Linked DNA regions of Cricetulus griseus. The protein of the gene in region 2 binds, or shares a complex with, the protein of the main gene of each other region. Links are inferred from orthologs where the notes say so. Each region holds a gene or a part of one and is shown on either strand. Other genes may lie near its edges.

The links. Proteins that work in one complex are often made in the same cells at the same time.
Region 1: the proteins of Ywhaz (region 2) and Sos1 are in contact, whole or in part, in a crystal structure (PDB 6F08), measured with the Homo sapiens proteins. The link is inferred for Cricetulus griseus from reciprocal best matches to the Homo sapiens genes YWHAZ and SOS1. Residues at the interface, in NP_001129171.1 of Homo sapiens: Glu14, Asn38, Asn42, Ser45, Val46, Lys49, Arg56, Arg60, Phe117, Lys120, Arg127, Tyr128, Ile166, Gly169, Leu172, Asn173, Val176, Glu180, Asp213, Leu216, Ile217, Leu220, Asp223, Asn224, Leu227, Trp228; in NP_005624.2 of Homo sapiens: Arg1157, Arg1158, Pro1159, Glu1160, Ser1161, Ala1162, Pro1163, Ala1164, Glu1165, Ser1166.

Annotation. Positions count from the first base shown.
Region 1 is NC_048600.1:3,606,418-3,610,160, forward strand, and holds the start of Sos1 (son of sevenless homolog 1), read left to right. Parts: upstream 1-1,362; 5' UTR 1,363-1,456; coding exon 1,457-1,543; intron 1,544-3,743.
Region 2 is NC_048603.1:14,723,487-14,727,229, forward strand, and holds the start of Ywhaz (14-3-3 protein zeta/delta), read left to right. Parts: upstream 1-1,421; 5' UTR 1,422-1,561; intron 1,562-3,743.

The DNA.
Region 1 (3,743 bases), on a different chromosome or scaffold from region 2:
ACGACTTCATCCAGATTCTAGGAGATCGTCTAAAGATTAAGAACACTGGTTTCAAACATGTTTCATCTGTGAGATCTTGTTTATTGTACTCCAAAACAGCAGGACATAATGTCAGTTTGAGCCCAGGCTGGTTCTTCGAACTGTCTTCTCAACTATGAAATTAAAACTCTGAGAACTAAAACACTTTACTCGGAAAGCGTTCAATGATAAAGCATAACGTGCCACAGTGTTGCACAATGCCACTGTCACAAACATCTGCATCCCTGGGATGGAAGGACAATTTGTAGATACTGCTTCTACAGCGTTCCGGGATCTTCATGTCTCTATTCTGGGTCGTGTGCCAGAAGAAAAAATAAACCATTCCTTTCAGAAGCTAATTATCCAACTGAAGCCGTGAAAGATACAAAGCAGGGTGGACTAAGCCCGTAAATGTGGCCTGTGGGTTTGAGTAGACGCGATCAATGACTACTACACATACACGTTTTCATGTTATGGAAAGGACGAGGGAAACAGGACGACCTCTCCTCCCACCGGACAAATACTGAGCAGAGGTTTTTGTGAGACGGAACCTATCTTTTGTGCTATCTGTTTGGTATACAGTGCATGCTCAGGGCACTCCTTATCTTCATGCTGGGAACAAAGTACACACACCCCTTTCTGAGACCCAGGGTCTTAGGACCTCCTGGAGCGGCATGGGCTCCGGGCCTACGGGGCCACACAAAGGGGGCGTTTTGCCTGCTCACCCCCCCCCCGCCCCACACACACCCAGGCCCTTCGGTCCCGGGTTCGCCTTCAGGGTCCCTCGGCCCCGCCCCTGCAGTGCCCTCCCAGCCTCTTGCGCGCGCCCCTCCTCATCCGCGGGCAGCCGGAAAACCCGGAGCGAACCGGCCTGGGCCGGCGGCGCATGCTCAGTCGCGGGCAGGTTCAGTTTGCTACTAGGAAGCTCCAGCGCTACACGCGGCGGCGGCGGCGGCGGCGGGCGGCGGCGGCGGCGGCCCCAGCAGCGAACTCCGGCCCTTCCCCGCCTCCGCCCGACCCCGGTCCCCGGGCTCCGCCCCGCTCCGAGCTTCGCGCTCGACTTCCCCGCAGGCCAGCGGGAGCCACCGGTTAGAGCGTCCCTCCACGCGCCGTCTCTCGGCGGCCCAGGCCGTGCCGGGGAGCGCAGTCCGGTTGCGGGCGTCGGAGGGCGGCCCGGGGCGGAGCGGGGGGCCTGCCCCGGGGCGGTGGTGCGGGATGCAGCCGCCGCCACCGTCGGGCTGCGTTGGTTCTCGGCGACCGGCGCGCGTGTCGGGTGGGTGGGCGGGCCTCGCCCCCAGCCGCCTCGCCAGCGCTAGCCCGGCCGCGCGGCGCCCGAAGGGGCCGGGCTGTGCGCGGGCTGCGGCCCTGCTCCGCTCCGCTCCGCGCCGCGCCGCGAGCCGCCGCCCCTCCGCCCGCCCCGAGGCGTCCCGCGGGCACCATGCAGGCGCAGCAGCTGCCCTACGAGTTTTTCAGCGAGGAGAACGCGCCCAAGTGGCGGGGGCTGCTGGTGCCGGCGCTGAAAAAGGTAGGAGCGCCGAGCCCGCTCCCGGCCGCAGCCCGCGCCGGGCTGGCCGAGAGCGGGGAGGCGGGGCGCGCACCGCCGTCTTTCTCCCTGGTCGGCAGGGTCCCCGGGAGGACCGTGCAGGCGGCGATCTTCCCCGCGCCCGGCTGCTCCAGCTGTTGACACCCGCCCGGCGTGCGTGGGAAGGCCACACACAGTTGGGGAGGGTTGGCCCCGATAATCCAAGCGCTGAGGCGACGGTTAGAGGAGCCTCGGTTTACCGTGGAGGTCAAAGAAGGCCACTGCCTACCGTCTCGGTCTTAGCGAGCTGCGGTCAGCCTCCCGTTTTGGGAGTCCAGTGCGCTCTTACTGGCTGGAGAGTGCCCTGGCCACAGTGCTTGCCTAAGTAATTGCGAGGTAGCCTGCCAGCAAGAACATGGCCTGCTTGGCTTTGCTCGCCTTCAGTCACTAACTCCCGGTCCTTTTGACACTCCCCCAGCCCCATTACAGGGGTGATGCACATGCCACTGTGTTCAGATGGGTTCTTCTGGGGAGTCTGAGAATCTTTGAACCCTTGTTTGGTTTGGCGCTTTGTATTTTTAGTCTTTGTGTGTTACTTTGATTTTACCAGAGGTTAAAGTAAATTTTTTTTGAAAATGTTGCTACATTTTAAAAGCTCCTAAAGCAACACTGTAAACAGTCTGTTCTTTGGTTTGGCATTTCGAATTTTTAGCCTTTGTTTTTTAGATTGCTAGTGACTAAATCTTAAAAGCTTCCAAAGCAACATTGTTACTTAGTAGATTCTGTAGTAAGACATCTGAAACAGAGGTGGTTGAGTGGATTTTAAAACAACCGGATTGTTTTTGCTCACATTTGCCTTACCTGTAAAAACTGCTTTACTCTTTCAGTAGTTTTAATCTAAATTTCTTGTTGCTCAAATAGTTTTCAAGCTATCTTTGCTAAAATACAGCTTTGTTTCAATTGAGAATTGAGAGTGTTTACTGTACCATTGTGTGGAGGCTTTTATTATACCAGAGAGTTTTGAAAGGTGTTTCATAGTCCTCAAAGGCTAGCAACTTTTAGTTTCTCCTTTGCCCTGTTCATCCCTTCCCCTGTTGGTATCTTACGGTGGAAATTGCCAGAAGACTTTGTTTTTATTTTTCATATTTAGGTTACTGGTTTCTATCCTCAAGTGTCTCACTGCTTACAAACCTCTGTGGTGTTTTTCTATGGAAATCAAAGAGGCCACCTTGTCGTGCATACTTTGTTCATTAATGATCCCATGAGGCCTCACTCCGTCTTTTTTTACATTGGTTTACCTGCACACTTGACTGCTTAGCTTGTAGAAGTGGAGAAGTGTGCCTCAAGATGCTTGAAGCTTGGTATCTTGACAAGATGAGAGAGAAGAGTTGATTTATATGTATAAAAGCCCTCACAGGACATTACCAGTTTGGGGTATTTGGTTTAAAAGCAAGGAGCTCAAAAATAACACTTGAGAACCCTTTGAAGTGGTGGAAAGTGCATTGTAGAAGTTGGCAGACCTCTCTAACCTGCCACATGGGTGGCCCTTGGTGAAATCTATTCACAGACACATTTGTTTGGCTGTCATTGTGGTGTTTTGTTTTTTAATTTATGTAATTAGTTGCCACTATCCTAAATGAAAAGTATCACATAGGCTGAATTCCTATTTTGTTCTTGAGTTATAGACAGTCTTGCCATTTTCACACAACAGTAAATTACTAGAGTTGTAAGTGGCTGCCTTCTTGAGAAAGTGTTGTGTTTCCAGTTTAACACAGTGTTACTCAGGTTGGTTGGTTTTCCATTTCAAGCAGAGGTATCCCTGCAGAAGTGATGTGTTTATAGAATCTTCCTAACATGTAAGGTTCTTCTCATTTAAATTCTCACCTACAATGCTCTTCAGACACCTAAGACAGCTTGGACATATTTTTCATAATCTGAATATGCTCTTGTATCTTAAAATTACTGAATTATCATCTATGTGCTGGGCATTTCATGTAGATGTGTCCATGGACATTTTGTGTGGGTGTGTCCTTATCTTGAACTCTTTCTTCAGACTTTAAACTACTTGTATAATGCCTAACTATGCCTTTTCTTACCGGAGGCTTTTTGGACAGACTGTTCCTTTTATCTGGTCTAATACTACTCAATCTCAGAGATTTTTCCCAAACCCTCAGGGCTGAGTTGGATAGTGCTCCATTGTTTC
Region 2 (3,743 bases):
ATTTAACCTAGTACCTTCTGTCAAATTGCGAGCGCCTACTACAAAGCTGGAAACCTGGAATCTTTTGAAGTGTTAGTCACCTACGAAGTGAGTCACTCCCTGCAAGAGTCTCCATGAGAGCCTGCATCGGTTTGCTCATCTATCTGTTTTAGCGGTGCTGTGGATCTGTGGATGTGCAGACTCGGGGTGGGTGGGTCAGGGGAAAGCGATCACAGGCAACTCTCGAGCTACCTATCTGCCATTTCAGGGAAATGATCATTTGTAGAGCAAGCTTATGACCAGACCATGTATCCGACAGACAGACACTGAGTTGGGGGAAGAACAGCTTGTCGTGGAATCTTCTGGAGAGCTATGGGCTGAATACTTTTTCCCCCCTTTTCTTTTTTCCAGCCAGCAGGAGCTGGGTAAAGGCGTTTGCTTCAACTCAGGACGCACGTTTAAAGGACGCAAGGGCACACGCTTCACGCTGAGAATGCTTCTCCCTCCGCTTCCGTCTGCTGGGTGGAGACCTTGCGGGTGCAGGCACCTGCAATTTCCGCCCTCTTCCTACCCCCTCTTCCGGGCCCAGGCGCTCCCGCCCCTGCTCGGGCGAGCGGCCCCCCTCCCACTGTCAGATGGGGGGCCCCGAGAGCGAGCAGCCAGTATCCCCAAGGTGGCTCCCAGGACCTAAAAGGCTCTTTGAGAGCGTTAAGTGGAGACAACGAGCCTCCCCGTCAAAGCCCGGCTGTGTGTGTGTGTGGGGGGGGGGGGGCAACAGTGCAGCGCCCGGAGATCGGCTCGCTGTGTGAGCCTGTGTCCCCCCAGCTCGCACAAGCCCTTCCCCTCTCCTCCCGGAGACCCCCCATTGTCTCCCTGGCTGTCACGGTCTGTGCGGGGCGACAGGAGGGACAGCGGGCGGCTCGCCCGAGCCTTAAAAGGTCTAAGGCCGCTTTACTGCAGCGGTGGGCGAGCGGGCGAGCTAGCAAGCGGCCACGCCCGCTGCCGCCCCGCAACCGGGGCTCTGATCACAATGCCCCGGCCGCAGAGCCCGCCGTCATTACCGGGGCGGCCGGGAGGGGGAGGGGCGGGTGGGGGGGGGGGAAGACGCGAAAGGTCCCGGATGTGCCCGCCAGTAGAGGTGTAGGGGGGAGGGAGCGGCTTCCTTCCGCGGGCCGCAGGGGCGGCGCGGGAGGGAGGAGGGAAGGAGGAAGGAGGGCGGCTCGCGGGGGCGGCGGGGGCGAGCCGAGCGCGCGGGAGGAGGAGGAGGAGGAGGCAGGGTCGGGGACGCGCTCTCCCTGAGCTCGCCTCGGGCGGGCAAGCGAGCGGGTGGGCGGGGCGGGCGCGCGCCGGGGGAGCGGCGGTTGCGCCGGGCACCAATCAACGGTTGCCATAGCAGCGTTTGACGTCATTGTGCGTGTGGTGCCCCTGCTGCCGGGGCTAGTGATTGGAGGAAACCCCGTGTCTGCGGAGCCGCTGTAGCCTGTGAGCAGCCAGATCAGGGACAGAGTCTCAGCCTCGCCGCCGCCGCCGCCCAGGGACACTGCCGACCGGGTCCGTGTGCCGCCACCCACTCCGGACACAGGTGAGCAGCCTCCCGGGCTGGCCCCTCCGCCGCTCGCCCGCCCCGCCGCGGCGGGCGTCCCCAAGGATCCTGGACCCGGGCGGCGGCTCGTCCCGCCGAGCCCCGGGCGAGCGCCCACGGCCGCCCCCGGGCCGCTTGCTGCTGGCCCTGCCGGGGTGCTGGTCGCCCCGTCCGCCCGTGTCCCGTGTCCCCGGGGGTGGGGGTGGCGGAGGAGGCGCCCACGCGCGAGACCCTCCCGGGTTTGGGGGGGGTAGGGCTGAAGCTCGGGCGAGCGGGCGAGCGCCATCCGCCCCCGCCGGCACCCGCTTCCGCCGCGGCTGGGACCGGGGCCGTGGCGCAGGTGAGGCGGCCCCCACCCCGCCGTGGCGCCCCCGCCGCCCCTCCCCCGCCGCGCGGGCAGCCAGGTAGCGCGCGCGCGAGAGAGAGCGAGTCTCCGGGGTGGGGCCGGCTCGCCCTCCCGCTTGCCCTCCCGCCGGGGACCCGGGGCTGAGCTTCCTGGGTCCCTCTCGGTGGCTCACTCGCTCGCACGCTCGCACACTCGGTGGGTGGGTGGGTGGTTGGGGGAGGGGCTCGGCCTGGGCGCCCCGGGGACGCAGGGGGGTCTCCGGCCGGGTGGGAGGTGAGCATCCTTCGGGGAGAGCGGGGGCTGCGCCGGTCTGGGTGGGGCCCGGCCCCTCCCATCCCCCTCCTCCTCCTCCGCAGCTGTCGGGGGCGGGAGGGGGGACCCCGGGAGGGAGAGAGCGGGGTGTGTCCGGTGCGGGTCGGCCGCCGTCGGTTCCGCTCGTGCGGGCGCCGCTGGCTGGCATCGGGGGGCCCCCTCCGGGTAGGGCGAGCCGCTCGCCGCCGCCTCCTCCCCCCCACCTCCACCACCCCACCCCACCCGACCCGACCGCTCCTCCCTCTCGGCTCGGCGGTGCTCGGGTTGGGTTGGGCTCCTTGACACAGTTCCGCCATGACAAAGAGAGAGAGAGGGCGAGCGAGCGAGCCGGGGACCGGCGGAGGCGCCAGCCTGGGCGGAGCCAAGAAGGGGAGGTGGCTGCGGGCGGCGCGGACGCGAGCGAGGACTGGCGCTGGCTTTAAAAAGTCTGGGGCGCGGTTTCGGCTCGCCCCCGCTCGCCCGCCCGCCCGCCCCGGGCAGGCGAGGGTTAAGTGGGTGCGGCGAGGGCTCCCGCAGTGTAGATGCTGGTTCTTCGTGTGCTTCCCGCGGGGAACCGGGCGGCTGAGGTCGGCGGGGGTGGGGCCGCCGGGGCCGCGCTGACATCACTTCCCAGGGCCGTTTCTGGTGTGAGGTTTCCAGACCGCAAAGGGTTAACTCGGCCTAGCCAGGCCCCGGCGCTTGTTTCAGTTGAGGATGCTTCTCATTGATTTAACGCCCCCTCCCTCCCCACACCACACCACCCCTCCCCACCCCCCAAAAAAGCGATTTCTGGAAAGGTTAAAGGAAAGGGTGCGATGGTGGCCTTGGGTGGTGGCGGTGCATTGGGCAGTGACTGTCATGGAAATTCATTTCCTGGGATCCCTGTGGTTGAGAACCGTGCTCTTGACCCCGTTCAAGGAAAGAAAAAAAAAAAAAGTTGATCAGAAATAAATTGGGATCTAGGGAACTTGAACTGCAAAGGAGATTGGCGGAGAAGACGTTAGGGCCGACTTAATAAATGGTGACTTGGAGAAAAGCCATGCAGGGGGAGTCTGCACCTAAACTGCAGTGTGACATCGCAGGGGGCGCCTGCGCTTGGGTTGGCCCTGAGTGCTCGCTCCCTGCTGCGCAAAGTGTGCATGTAACTCCATGTAGATGGGTCTGTCTGGTCTCGGGGCGAGTGATCCCTAGTGGTTTTATATTCAGGGTATCCTAAGCATCAGTCAGTCAGTTTCCTCAGATAGTTTTCATCCAGGAAGTGTAGCAGATCGGGCTGGAGAAAGTGCTAGGTAAAAGGTAATCCACTCGGGGTCAGAGTGCACACACTGAAGGTTAGCTGGCCTGACTCACGGTTCTGCGAGTGGAGTGCTCTTCATGGACCTTCTAGGTCCGGATCTGGAGTGTTCTCCCCAACGCACTCACGCACACACACACTCACACACACTCACACTCACACTCACACTCACACTTACCCTCTCACTGTAGGGAAAGGTGGTGAAGTGTAGGTCACTCTGCATTGGGATTAAGTTGAGCTTTTTAAGAAAA